Caenorhabditis elegans: one gene and its partner. The protein of the gene in region 2 interacts with the protein of the main gene of each other region in a pairwise test. Each region holds a gene or a part of one and is shown on either strand. Other genes may lie near its edges. The genes, in order: erh-2 and pid-1.

Region 1 (6,659 bases), on a different chromosome or scaffold from region 2:
CACATCAATTATCGGTCCAAATGGATCTGGAAAGTCTAATTTAATCGATTCGCTCTTATTCGTTTTCGGTTTCCGTGCTTCCAAAATTCGTTCTGCAAAAGTGTCAAATTTGATTCACAAAAGTGCTGGAAGAAATCCAGACAAATGCACAGTCACTATTCATTTTCAGCGGATCGTCGATATTGTAAGTGAATCAGAGAATCTAATAAAATATAAATTTGCTTTTTTTCAGCCTGGGCATTACGAAGTCGTCAAGGATTCTGAGTTCACAATCTCTAGAACTGCTTTTCAAAATAACTCAAGCTCATATGCTATCGATGGTCGACCGGCAACGAAGAATGAAGTTGAAGCACGCCTACGACGCGTTGACATTGATATTGAGCATAATCGTTTTCTAATTCTTCAGGTAAAAGTGACAATAAAACCGGTAATAAACATTTTTTTCAGGGAGAAGTCGAACAAATTGCAATGATGAAACCAGTGAAAACCACCAAAAGTGAAACTGGAATGGTTGAATATTTGGAGGATATTATCGGAACAAACCGACTCGAGCCCTTTGTTAAATTATTCCAGCGACGCGTCAATCGTCTTACTTGTGATCTTTCTCAACAAAGAATCGCTCGTGATCACGCCAGAAACAGCAAAGTAGCTATGGAGAATCCAGTTAGAGCTGCAATTGAGTTTCTGATGAAAGAAAACGAGGCTACAACGATTCATATGAAATTGGAGCAAAGAAGACGGTAGTTCTGAAATATTCCAGGTTAAAATAACATTTAACGTTTTAAGGCAACGATACCTAGATAAAATTGCTCCAAAACAAGCCGAACTTGACAAGATGAAAGAAGAAATGAAATCGATTGCTGAAACGCTGGATACCAACAAAAACGAATACAAACAATCTGAGGAAGCTCAGAAAGTTATGATTGAAGAGCGTTCGAAACTCGACAAAAACTTTGATAGTCTATCTAAGGAATTGAGCGACTTGGGCACTGAAGAGACTCGCAGGAAGGAGGCTTTGAAAAGGCATCAAGCTAATATTTCAAAGGCGGAAGCTGAGAAGGAAAAAGAGGTTAAAAAGCGATCAAATCTGGAAGCAGCACCCGAAAAGGCGGAGAGAAAAATCGCAAAATGTCAGGAAGAAGTGGAACAGTTGCTTGAAATAGAGAAAACAGCTAACGAGGAAGCCGACAAGAATCTTGATGAATTTGAAAAACGCTCTGAAGCGCCAAAAGAAGAACAAAAGAAGATTCAAGAGACTTGGGCGCAGAAGAGCAACGAATTTAACAAAGTTCGAGGTGAAGCAAGGATTGCACGGGAAGATTTCGAGGATTTAAAGAAGCTCGCGAATTCTGGAACGGATAAGCTTATCGAACTGAAGAAACGATTAGAATCTTCAGAAGAAAGTTATGCGAAAGAGAAGGATGAGTTAGATAAGCTGAAGCCGGAATTTGATTCTTGGAATGATAAGTTAAAACAACTGAGTACAGAATTGCCAACTCTTCGAAATACGGCAAGACAGAAGAATCAAGATGTAGGTTTTCAAAAAGCCTGATAAATTTAAATAAATCCTATTTTACAGTTGGCAAAAACGCGTGATCGTCTCGAAACTCTTCGCCAGCAAAACTCGTCTTGCTCAAGTTCGAATAAAGTTATTCAAGCCTTAATGAAGGAAAAAGAAGCTGGAAGAATTAAAAGTTTTCACGGTCGTCTTGGTGATCTCGGTGTCATTGATCCGAAATATGAGGGAGCGATTTGCACAAATTTCGGGGCCCGTCTCAACTATCTTATTGTAGGGAAAGAAGAAGATGCAAAAAATGTCATCAATTTTTTAGTTGCTGTAAGTTTTATAACCCTCATTTTCTAGGAATACATTGGTTTTCAGAATAAATTACCTCGACAAACTGTTCAGCCATTGGACAAAATTAAGTGTGATAAGAGAGATTTAGCTCCCAATCCGACGAACCCATTACCTGCTCCTCGTCTTATTGATCTGATTGATTGTGATCCTGTTCTTAAACCAGCATTCTATGATATGGTGCGTAGTGCAATTGTGGGCGATTCTACCCAGGAAGCTCAGCGAATGCATAGAATGCCCGCTTGTCGTGGTGTTACCGTGTGCACACTAGAAGGTTCTATGATTCACCCATCTGGATCATTCACAGGAGGTGGAAAAACAGTGAAAGGTCTCATTCTCACGGATAAAAATAAGATGGCTAAACAAGTGACACCTGAAGATAAAGCCGCTGAACGAGATTTAGCTGAAAAACTTGGAAAATTGAGAGATGAAGCTGATGAACTTAAAGGACAAGAGCATGAAGTAAGATATTAAAGGATAAAAATATAAAATATAACAAACCGATTTTTAGATGGACGGACAGCTAATCGAAGCACGTCGCAAAGTCGCTGAAATGAGTAATCGTTTGTCTATTGTGACTTCTTCAGTTCAATCTGCAGCTCCAGCAATTGAAACCCTCAAGAAAACGATCGCAAATCAAGAAAAAGAAGCAGCGAAAGTTAAGGTGGATGCGAAGACATTAGAAGATAAACAGAAGATTGTTGAGGAGCTCGAAAAAAGTAATTTTCCGTCATATCATCATGATTTGGGTAATATATTTCATTTCAGAACGAGATGAGTTGGGCGAAGAAGCTGCGAAAGTAAAAGCTCGTCAAGCTGAAATTCAGAGTAAGCTTGACGGAATCTTCAAGGAACTTGTACAATGTCATCGAGACGAAGCCAAAGAGTCTCTTCAGAAACGTCAAAAACTTGAGAAGGATATCGCCAAAGAAACTGCAAATATTTCCAATTCGGGCAGAAACATTGCAAAGTGCGATGAGAACATTTCCAGACACGATAAAGACATTGAGAAGATGAAGAAAAAGTGCGAAGAATTGATGGAGAAAGCAATCGATGATGAGGAAGTGAAATCGAAGAAAGAAACGGTTGAGCGCTTTGAAAAGCAAATCAAGAAGTTACAGACAAAAGGAGAGGAAATGACGAAGAAACAATCGGAATTGTCAGCTGCAGAGACGAAATTGGAGGGAGAATTGAAAAAGTGCAGTGAGGGAATAAAGGAGTTGAAGGAAAGTATGTTGGCAGATCGATTAAAGGTTGAGGATATTGAAAAGAAGGTTTGTTATTAATAAAAATCTATTAAATTAAATGTTCTTTTTTTACAGCTCGCTGCTTTGAAAGTTAATCGAATCCCACGATTCCAATTTCTCATCGAATCAAGTCGGCCAGAAGATCTCGAAATGCAAATCGATGATAAAATGCCGGTGGTTGATGAAAATCAGAGTCCAGAAGAAGTTGAACGACAAAAGAAGCATATGGCCTGCGTGATGAGTGACGCCGCGTACGCTCTCGAGTTCGAAATGCGACAGAAAGTGTTGGAAAACACTGAATCGTATGAGAATGTCGACGGAGAGGACCGGGTACCGGTCGAGCTTCTGTCCGACGAGAAAATCAACGAGATTTCGAGCCGAGACGCTGAAGAAATGCAAATGAAGCTGAAAGTGTGTGAACAACAAGTGGAAGCATTGAAAGCTAAAGTTGATATCTCATCGATTAAAGCTTATGTTGATAAGGTCAAGCAATACAATGAACAAGTGATCAAGTTGACAATAGCCACAGAAGTACATCGAAAACATAATCAAGAACTTCAACGAATCAAGCAGATGCGACTTGAAGAATTCCATGTAAGAAATCAGACGTTGATAGGTTTCTGATTAATTTTTAAAAAATATTTCAGTCTGCATTCGAATTCATTGGAAAACATTTGGTTGCCGTTTTCAAAATGCTAACTGACGGAGGAGATGCCAAATTGGAATACATTGATAAAGACGATCCATTCCGACAAGGAATCAGTTTTATGGTTCGCCCAGCGAAGAAAGCTTGGAAGCAAATTCAATTCCTTTCGGGTGGAGAGAAGACATTGTCCTCATTGGCTCTCATTTTTGCGCTCCACATGTTCAGGTACTAAATACTTTCTTTAATAATTATTATAATCCCTCGTTTAGACCTACTCCATTCTACGTTATGGACGAAATCGATGCTGCTCTCGACTATCGTAACGTTTCGATTATTGCCCAATACGTCCGACAAAAGACTGAAAACGCGCAGTTTATTATTATTTCTTTGAGAAATAATATGTTTGAACTCGCCAATCGTCTCGTTGGTATCTATAAAGTTGATGGGTGTACTCGTAATGTAGCCATTGATCCATTGAGAGTTTGTGAGATGGCGAAGCAAATTACGGACAGTTTGGGGCAGGCCACGTGTACTCTTCCTGATGAAGTAACTCAACGATTCAATGAGACAATGAGTCGGCAGAATAAGGAAATGATTGCACAAGAAAAACAATATCCGAACTTCCCATCATCAAATGAGATTTCAAAGGCCGAAAAGATTGTTAACGTTGAAGGACGTGTCAGGAAAGAATTGATTCAAACTACCCGAGATGTCACTTCAAGACCACAATCCAAAGCAACGACAAGTGGCGATGGAACTGAAAGACCGGCTAGTCGGTCAGCAAGTCGACCCGAATCTCGTATAAATCGTAAGACCAATGGCGTATTTATTATGAAAATGAAACAACTTATTTTTAGAAATGAAATATCCTGCTCCACGCCTTGTCGAAAGATCGTCGTCACAGAATGTTCGTAGCCCGAGAAAGGCACGAAACATAGAGGCCGATGAGGTTAGTTTCATTAAAAAATTTGAGACTCATTTTATTTCCCATTTTCAGACTACTCCACCTTCAAAGCGTTCAAATTCCGCAAGTACACCAAAACGATCTCCAATGAAACCGTTGACACCGTCGAGTAAAAAGAAGGAGAAGGCAATCGTTGATGACGATGATGATATGGAATAATTCATTCAAAAAAGTTCTATCCTCTTTTGTTTTGACGGGTATTAGTTCTCTGATCCCTCGACTCTTCCGTTTATTATTATTTTAAACTCGCGCAAATGATACTCATGTGCAATTCTTTAACCTCTCCCTGTTCAAGAAATCTCTCCCTTTTCCTTTTTATTTATTCTTATTCTCAATTATATTTAATTTGAGGGCCAAAGTTTGAGCCATTTTGCGTTGTATTTTTTTTTCGGCTCCAAACTGTAATTTAATGATATAATTGAGCTATGTGTCTTTTCGTTTGAAATAAGAACGTTTATCGGTGAAGCGTTGACTAGTATATCCCTCATGGTTAATCTGATTCAGATTTCCATTTTCACTATTTATTTTGTGGATTTTCACTGTAACTCGTGTTATGCATGTAATTTCAGATATGTCTACTTCTTCACATACCGTACTTCTGATTCAAACATCACCACGTCTTGATTCACGGACTTGGGGAGATTATGAGAGTGTAACTGACGCTCTTGATGGTAACCATTCCGTGAGAATTATTATGTTTAATGGAATTTTTCAGCTCTTTGCAAGATGTTTGAAGATTTCCTTTCCAAGAAATCAGCTGCTCCAGTCACATACGACGTGTCGCAAGTCTACGAGTTTCTCGATAAGCTCTCCGATGTTTCTATGATGATCTTCAATCGCGTATGTATTATTGATCTGCATATCCTCCCAAATCAATTCATTTTCAGGAAACCGGGCAATACATTGGTCGTACACGTGCATGGATCAAACAACAAGTCTACGAGATGATGCGTGGTCGTTGTCAGCATCCGGAAGGTGGAGAGAAAGTCATTGTTGGGTATTGATTACATTGGAAATATTATTCTCATCTCGCTCTGATCTTCATGTGCTCGCCGGTCTTTTATTTCTTCTTCCTTTTCAATGATTCTTGCTCAATTTACAATTCGATTTCAATTGCGATATTTTTATACTTTCTGATGAATTTCTCACTATGAATATTTCAATTTAAAAAGTCTTCGTTCTTGTTAATTTAAAATACAAATGAGGAAAACTGAGTATCATTTGACATGAAAAAATGGAAACACAAGATAAAAACGTAGATTACTCTACAATTGTCCAGTCTTGTCTGCAAAGCGGGCATTGAGCTCTTGGTTGGTTAGTTGGTGCTGCAATCCACTTATCGATGCAATGACGATGAAAAGCATGGCGACAAATTCCCAGAACCAATGGGCAATCATCTCCTGGAAACTTGCACATGTTGCACGCCGATTCAAATTCCATTCGACAAATTCCACAGGTATCTTCACCTCCTTGTAACCACTTCCACTCTCCACAAACCTGAAAAATGTCAAGTTTTTGAAACTTCAATTTTTTTTGACAAACTAACATGTAACTTTTTGACGGTAATGCTCATCCGAGTGTTGGTTTTTAATAGAATCCCTGGATGATCATCCTGCATCTGAAAACCGAAATATGATACGAATTATTTCTTATATGTCTTACAGTATGAAGTTCAGAACTGCTCATCGACATATTTTGTTGATCATCGTTTCCCTGTGATTCATCATTTTCCTGTTCGTCCATTTGAATTTGTTGCTCCATTTCTATCAAATGTGATATTTTATATTGACAATTAGATTCTGGCTCGTACGACGAAATCATTATATAGGTAGGATTGATAAATAAGGTTGAAACCTGTTCGATAATCACAATAACACGATTGAAAATTCAAAATTTTATGAGAAAGAAAACAACGCCACTATTATCATCACTGGTTTTATGTTGTGT
Region 2 (6,886 bases):
GGGAAAAACATTGAAACTCTCAGAGAGAAAGTTGTTAAGCCACTCCGTTTGAATTGGATCAGGGATATTTGTAGTGAACAAATAGGTTAGTACGTTTTGTAGGCAGTTCGGGATAGATGACAAAATGCCAAAATGTTGCAAAACAGCTACAGTACTCTCTCTAGCACCTCCTTTGTCTCATTTTGAGAGTTTTTATCTTGGCTGTCTTTGGCTTTATTAAAACAATTTCGAATACTTATTTTTAAAAGTAAACGGTTTTTGATAAAAACAATGACATGCGAGATATGAGGTGTTGAAGTTGAATGAGCAGTGAGGGCACAAGACTAATAGTGAACAATTTTCAGTGTATGAAAATGGATGCCTTTTATTTGAAAACACGGATCCAAGTGGTGTTCTATTATTAGAGGAGCTTCGTCAAATTCACTACAACAGAGAGAATTTCAAACGATCAGCTCCATTTGTCTTGAACTTGCAAAAAGAAGATTGTCTGCACATTTCAAAGAAAATCGAACTGTACGAGAAATTTGGGATAGTTGCTCTTCAAATACTTGACAATTGTCCAAAACAAGAGAAAGTATTAATATTAGATGGAAGACAGCCCTTTGATTACGTTACGAATCGAGATGATATCAAATTTCATAAAGGTGATATTGTACGTTACGCAAGAATTCGATACTTTGCACTGGATGAACACTTGGAAAGATTAGAGAAATGGTTTCTTCAATTGGGATATTCTGATGTCAGAGAAATTGGTAATATTGATGGATCGGCTGAATATCCAGAAGTTGCTGTAATCGGATGTATATCAACTTTTATGCCATTCCCATATCTACAAAAGACCAGAAGAAATTATACATCTTTGGCAAACACGAAGTATACTGTAAGTTTAATTATTGAAAAACCAAGTCTTACATAAAAAGTGAACAAAAATAGTGCTGTAATTAGTTGGCATGATCTGTAAAATTGTATGTTTTTCATATAACAACTCTATATTCAGATTCCAATATTCTATTTTCGAAACAATAGTGGTCTTGACTGTGAGGAAAGGAGAGTTTCAAATGTTCTTCGACGTGTTTTGGGTAGATTCACAGTGGCAACATCTCGAAACTGTGAGTGTGGACCAGGGACAACGTCTACGACAATTTGGAAGAACTGTCAGTTACACCGAGGAACAGTTGAAATTACTGGATCACCAGAACAAAAGAGCCTTTGCAAATATAATTCGATTCGTAAAATTCAAGATGGTCAACTTTGGATCCATGATACTTCTACTGTTTCCAATTTGGATAGTTTTCCGCGTCTAGAAGAAGTTGAATGTGGCCCCGTGTGGAATGAAACTGATAGGAGAAGGTTGTCAGCTGTAAGAATAGATGGATACAATCAGAAATTTGAACATGTGGAGCTACTAAAGATGAAGAAAAAAGACGATCAATGTTTGAAATTTGTAGCCGTTGTTGGTGATAAGAAAAGACTTCCAAGATATTCAGAATCTGAGTGGATGGTTAGTTAAATCTTTTTGAAAGTCTCTCATAAATTGCTGATAATAAATAATTTCAGCAGGAGCACGATGACCTAAATGACATAGCTATCAATAGAATTGGAAAAAGTAAGAATTGAGTTTTAGAATATTGTATAAATTTATACATATGTATTTGGCTTTCAGAATGCGTTGGGTATTCTGGAAAATTTGGTGGTTTGGCCCGAATTATCCCATCAACTCGACGATTGTGAAGTTGTGGAAGGAGATCTTGTAATTGATGGAAGTGCTGGTGGTGTATTGAGAATGGCATCGGGACTTCGAAAAGTGAAACGAGTTCTTGGGAATGTGATCATCAAAAATTTAAGATCAGACTTCTGTGAATTAATCAAAAATCTGAAATACATTGATGGTGATCTCATATTTGAAAACAATCCATATCTGAGAAGAACTTCATTATCGCTGCGAGCTGTTAATGGAAAGATTCGGATGATTAGAACGCCTCAACTATGCTGGGAAGTTCAAAAACTTCGTAAAGTGGTACAAGCTTTCAAGATGAAGCATATATATTCTGACTGCGCCAACAGTAAGTTTAAATTCAAAAATCAAATGAATAGGTTATTCGTTTCAGTTGAAATGGACACTTTATTTGAAGAATACGAAGAAAAATGCACATTCGTGGAAATAATTGTGAGCCTCTGTGTATTGGCGTCAATTTTGATATTTGTTTGCTATGTGATGATAGATGTTGTGATCATCTTCCTGAAATCCCTGAATTTCACTCGATGGAGAAAAATAAAAGAATTGGACATTCATCTCAAAACTGACCCAACAGCTTATTTGGACGAAAAATCTTCAGATGAAGAACCTGATGTGATGACGTGGAAGAGGAGAATTCTGGTTAAAAATCGTCTGGATGGACGGGATGTGATGGGAGAAAAAAGGAAAAAGGAAATGAAAGAATACCGAGCAAATCGAAAAACAATTAATTGGAGACGGAAGCTTGGAGCATTGACGAGATCCATTCAAAAGAACGAATCGGATAGTGAGTTCTCAGGACAAAGTTGGTTGAGAAGAAAAGAGTCAAGAAAGAATGCAAAAGAGATGAATGAAGATCAAGGAAAATATGAAAAAGAAGGTCTTCCGATTGCAGTACTGACTGGTTTAGGAGAAACAAAATGGAAAGGAAGAACGAAGAACATGGCACTTGAGGCAAGAAAAGCTGATGAACGAGAATTGGAGTATTTTGAAGCAGTTCATAAAGCGATCAAAGAAATAATTGACGATGCAGAAGGTGACGAAGAAGATCGAATTCTGATGATTTTGGAAATAATGGAGAAAAGGAAAATTATTGAGCCGAACGAAATTATCACGGACACGAACAAATTCGAAGAGCTTCTGGTTCAACTGGAAAATCATTTGAGTGAACGTGAAAAGGAGAAGTGGATTGCCTGGGCTAAAAGGAAACAACAATTACGAGAGACGGCGATCACGACATATGGAAAAGGAAAAAGCTTTAACATCTACGATAAGCCAGTTAATCTAGAAGAAGATTATAGACTGAATGCTGGTGTTGATAACTCGGAAATGTTTGTGAAAGTGAAAATAGAAACGATGAACTGGAGGTCTTCGGATGAGAGTGGAACTGAAGATCGAGAACTTTAACTTTATGTCGTTATTTTTAAAATGTAATTTATAAAATTTTTGAATTCAACGAAACATCATTTTTATAAACTCAAAACAAGATGAAACAGTAAAAACAGTAAATTAACAGTGAAAACTTATGCAATATTCGAAGGAATGTCGTCGAAAATGGATCTGGCTGGCTTGTGATTGGCCGATACTGGGGTGTGCTTCTGGGGGGTAATTCTTGGACTTCCAGAAAAGGTGAACTGGTTGCTGGTATTCTGAATCGCTGGAGAGAGGAATCCACGTCCAGCTGGCAACTGAAAATGATATAATTTTATGCGTGAATTTAATATTTATTTCTTACCGGATTAGATAGGCTCAATCCGGCTGAAAGTGGTGAGCCAGTTCCATAATCATTCTTCTTTTCTTTTCTGAAAATTAAAACATTTGTTATAATATGTGGGTACTTCACAAACCTATAGATAAAATGAAACTCGTCGCAGTCATTATGTTTTTCGATGATTGTTCTCGGCTTTGCTTTCATTTCGTATCCAAGGGCTGCCAACTCGAAACGATCGCTCAACGTCACCTAAAATTAAAAAAAGCTTTCGTCATCAACATTAATAGATTATTACTTTTCTGTGAAGATTTGTATTGTAGTTGAACCGTTCAGCGCATTTGTGTGCGATATTTGTGTCTTTTTCAATATCCGAGTCGGTTTTTAACGAATTCTGATCGATTCTTTTCTGAAAAAAAGTTTTATTGTTATTAATTCTGAAAAAATGATAAAACTCACTTTAAATGGTGTGGATGCCAAAGTAATATGCGAAAACTCCCTTTTAGCCGACATAATTGGAAAATTCGAATGTCAGCCGAAGAAATTGTGTGCAATAATTTTAACACCGTTACTGTAAGTTTTAAAGACACATGTCCATTTTGAAGGCATGGGTCTCGAAGCGAAAAAACTTGTTACGGTAGCGCGCAATTAAAAAACTTGTAAAAATCTTTTTTTTTAGCTTGTTAATTAACGTTAACAAAATATATGAGAATATAGATGCAGAAAAAAAAGAAATTTCATTCGATGAATGTACATTATTGAGAAAACACAGTCTACCTATTTGAGACTAGTTTAAAACAGAAAGAAATTGTAAATTAAGGTAAAAAACCTATACTCTTTCGTGGAAGCTTCCTGATTCGTCCGATTCATACCCATCGTTTTCAAATCCATCATTGTCGTTGATTTCGCTCCGAACCGAATATTCAACTTCAGTTGTTTCTTGGAATAAATGAGTTGGTGTCATAGGTACAGTACTATGATCATCATAGACTGTTACTCCAAAATTCTCTTTCATGTGTTTGGTGAAATCTATTTTACTAGTCGAACTTACTCCATCGCTGAAAGTATTTGGAATAATTGATTTCAGAAGTTTGAAGAAACTTACATCATTGTATTTGTTCGACTTCTTGTATGTTCAATAAGAGCTTTTGTAAATACCATATTACTATTTAAATCTCCACGTGCAATCTTCTTTGCATCTTCATCAACCAAATGCTGTAAATTAATTATGAATAACAATATCATTAAGCGTATTACCATACCTTGTACTTTCTGACCAATTTAGTCTTATCCATCTCCTTCATATTGTTCTTATTAACTAAAATTGGTCTCAAATAATTATTGTTGAGTGCATTCCACGAATCACGAATCCAATGATGCCCCTTGAAACCGGCAATGTCTTCCATTCCAGCCATAGTCGTGTCGATAAGCTATAATTTTCATTTCACTGGAATTTTGGTTCTGAAAACTCACTTCGCTGTAAATATGCTCAATCATGTTCTTTGAGTGAACATTCTTTTTCTCAACTTGTAGGAATTCGGCAATTGGTTTCAGTGTAATTCCCTGAAAATGTTAAAAATCTATTTTAGAAGTATTGGAAATAATCCAGATTTTTTTTCAAAATTTAACTAGGCACATTAGAAGGCTATGTAAATGAAATGCTGAAAAGTAATAGTAAGGTATGTTTTTTAAAAACATCACGGGTATAAAATATAGCTAGATTGTTTAAAAAGATACCTGGAGGAATACAGTGAAGTAGATGACAATGATACAACTGGTGACAAACATATTCTTTCCGGGTATAAAATCTGGAATTGCAACGACAAGACCGTATGCAATGGCACCACGAAGACCTCCATAAGCCATGATAAATTGGTCTACCTGTATGAAACATATACTTTTTTTTATCAAATAACACAAATTAATTCTCACCTTTGTGTACTTATTCAGACGATACTTATTCAAGAAATAGCACATAACAACAACTCCAAGGGTACGGTAGATCAAGCAGAAAACTACAGTAAGAACGATGAAAGATGTGTCCCAGTGATGGTTTGAGGATACTGTTGAGAGTCCCAAAAAGACAAAGATAACTGTTTCCGATGCAAGAGAAAGCACTTTGATGAATGATTCTGTGGCTTTTACCGTGTCTGGGTCCACATTTTCACGGCAGTACTGACGCATGGCAGCACCACAAAATACAATTCTGCAAAAATTTTATTGAAAATTAGTTCTAGTTATATTTTGTTTCAGTTTTACAGCTCTGGAAGAGAATTACGGTTTTTGCCAAAACTTTTCATATTAGTATCTTCAATCTCTAGACCTTAAGTTTACATTTTAAAATTCCGATTTTTAATACAAAATTTAATATGAAAATATGAGTAGGGCTAAAGTTTCAATATAAAAAAGAAATTCTGAAATAAATTAACTTACGCCATAATACTTGAAAGACCGAAAAGTTCTCCACAAAGATAACAAGTGTACGGAAGAATGAGAATAAATACAGAATTGAGCACTTTGACCTCTTCATCTCTAGCAAATCTTGTAACAAGACTTGTCAAAAATGCAAAAAGAAGACCAATTCCAATTCCACCAAATGCAACAACCAGGAAAGAAACACCTCCATTGATATAATCAGATGTTATCAGATTCTCAGTTCCAATTTCAGAGAAGGTCAAGAACATTCGATAAAGTACAACAGCAACTCCGTCGTTCAATAGAGATTCTCCGAACACGGCAATAAAAAGAACTTCGTTGACCTGTAAACTTTGACTTTGTTATCAGAGAAATTTGGGAGACTGTCTCACTTTCAATTCCTCGAAAATGACAATTACAGCAACTGGATCTACATCAGCAGCAACTGAACCGAAGAGAAGCATATGCATAAGTGGAGTTTCAACTGAGAATAATCCAGTCAAACTGATGGCCCATAAGGAGAGAGCTGTAAATTATTAGATTTATTTCCAAATTTATCTTTAACTAGGCATAACGGTTTCAAAGATATTCAAAACTTTTCTAGACTATTTCAAATTGTTATCTTATCACTAAAATTGCTAATGTCCTTTGAGGTTACTATTTTTGAAGTTACAAGCTACAAAATTATCATTATTTTTAATTGGAGTTTGAAAATTCATAGTCATGTTGTTTTACTTTGTACATAAATATATTAGTTGTGAAAATATTAAAACTAACCAATTGCGACAATATTGAATGAAGTTCCAATCATTGCAAAACAAAGAATTGATCCAAAATTATCGAAAAACTGTCTTGCAGGCATAAAGTATCCGGCATCAAAAACAAGTGGCGGAAGTAGATAAAGCATGAATACTTCACTTTCCAGGAAAAATGCATTTTTATTGACTCCGATCAATTTGAAAATGATTCCAATAATTAAACCAATCATGATGAGTAACGCGGAATCCGGGAAAAGTTCATTGAGATGT

What was found.
Region 1: the proteins of pid-1 (region 2) and erh-2 interact in binary tests that used the Caenorhabditis elegans proteins (3 or more experiments, as listed by UniProt).

What each region holds. Positions count from the first base shown.
Region 1 is NC_003281.10:4,587,950-4,594,608, forward strand, and holds erh-2 (Enhancer of rudimentary homolog 2), read left to right. Parts: upstream 1-5,281; 5' UTR 5,282-5,283; coding exon 5,284-5,383; intron 5,384-5,427; coding exon 5,428-5,552; intron 5,553-5,599; coding exon 5,600-5,716; 3' UTR 5,717-5,878; downstream 5,879-6,659. Other genes in the region: smc-4 (Structural maintenance of chromosomes protein 4), read left to right, coding at 1-184, 233-406, 448-740, 787-1,531, 1,580-1,837, 1,883-2,317, 2,367-2,574, 2,624-3,129 and 5 more; apc-11 (Anaphase-promoting complex subunit 11), read right to left, coding at 5,973-6,209, 6,259-6,330, 6,375-6,473.
Region 2 is NC_003280.10:7,686,548-7,693,433, forward strand, and holds pid-1 (Protein pid-1), read right to left. Parts: upstream 4,010-6,886; 5' UTR 3,957-4,009; coding exon 3,903-3,956; intron 3,853-3,902; coding exon 3,742-3,852; intron 3,696-3,741; coding exon 3,583-3,695; intron 3,538-3,582; coding exon 3,471-3,537; intron 3,424-3,470; coding exon 3,259-3,423; 3' UTR 3,143-3,258; downstream 1-3,142. Other genes in the region: F18A1.1 (Receptor L-domain domain-containing protein), read left to right, coding at 1-85, 345-880, 998-1,501, 1,664-2,063, 2,109-3,142; nhx-2 (Na(+)/H(+) exchanger protein 2), read right to left, coding at 4,273-4,501, 4,549-4,658, 4,706-4,873, 4,917-5,006, 5,181-5,324, 5,376-5,649, 5,877-6,202, 6,251-6,384 and 1 more. UniProt on the Caenorhabditis elegans protein: Component of the pid-1 variant of the PETISCO complex which is required for the biogenesis of a class of 21 nucleotide PIWI-interacting RNAs (piRNAs) that possess a uracil residue at the 5'-end (also called 21U-RNAs).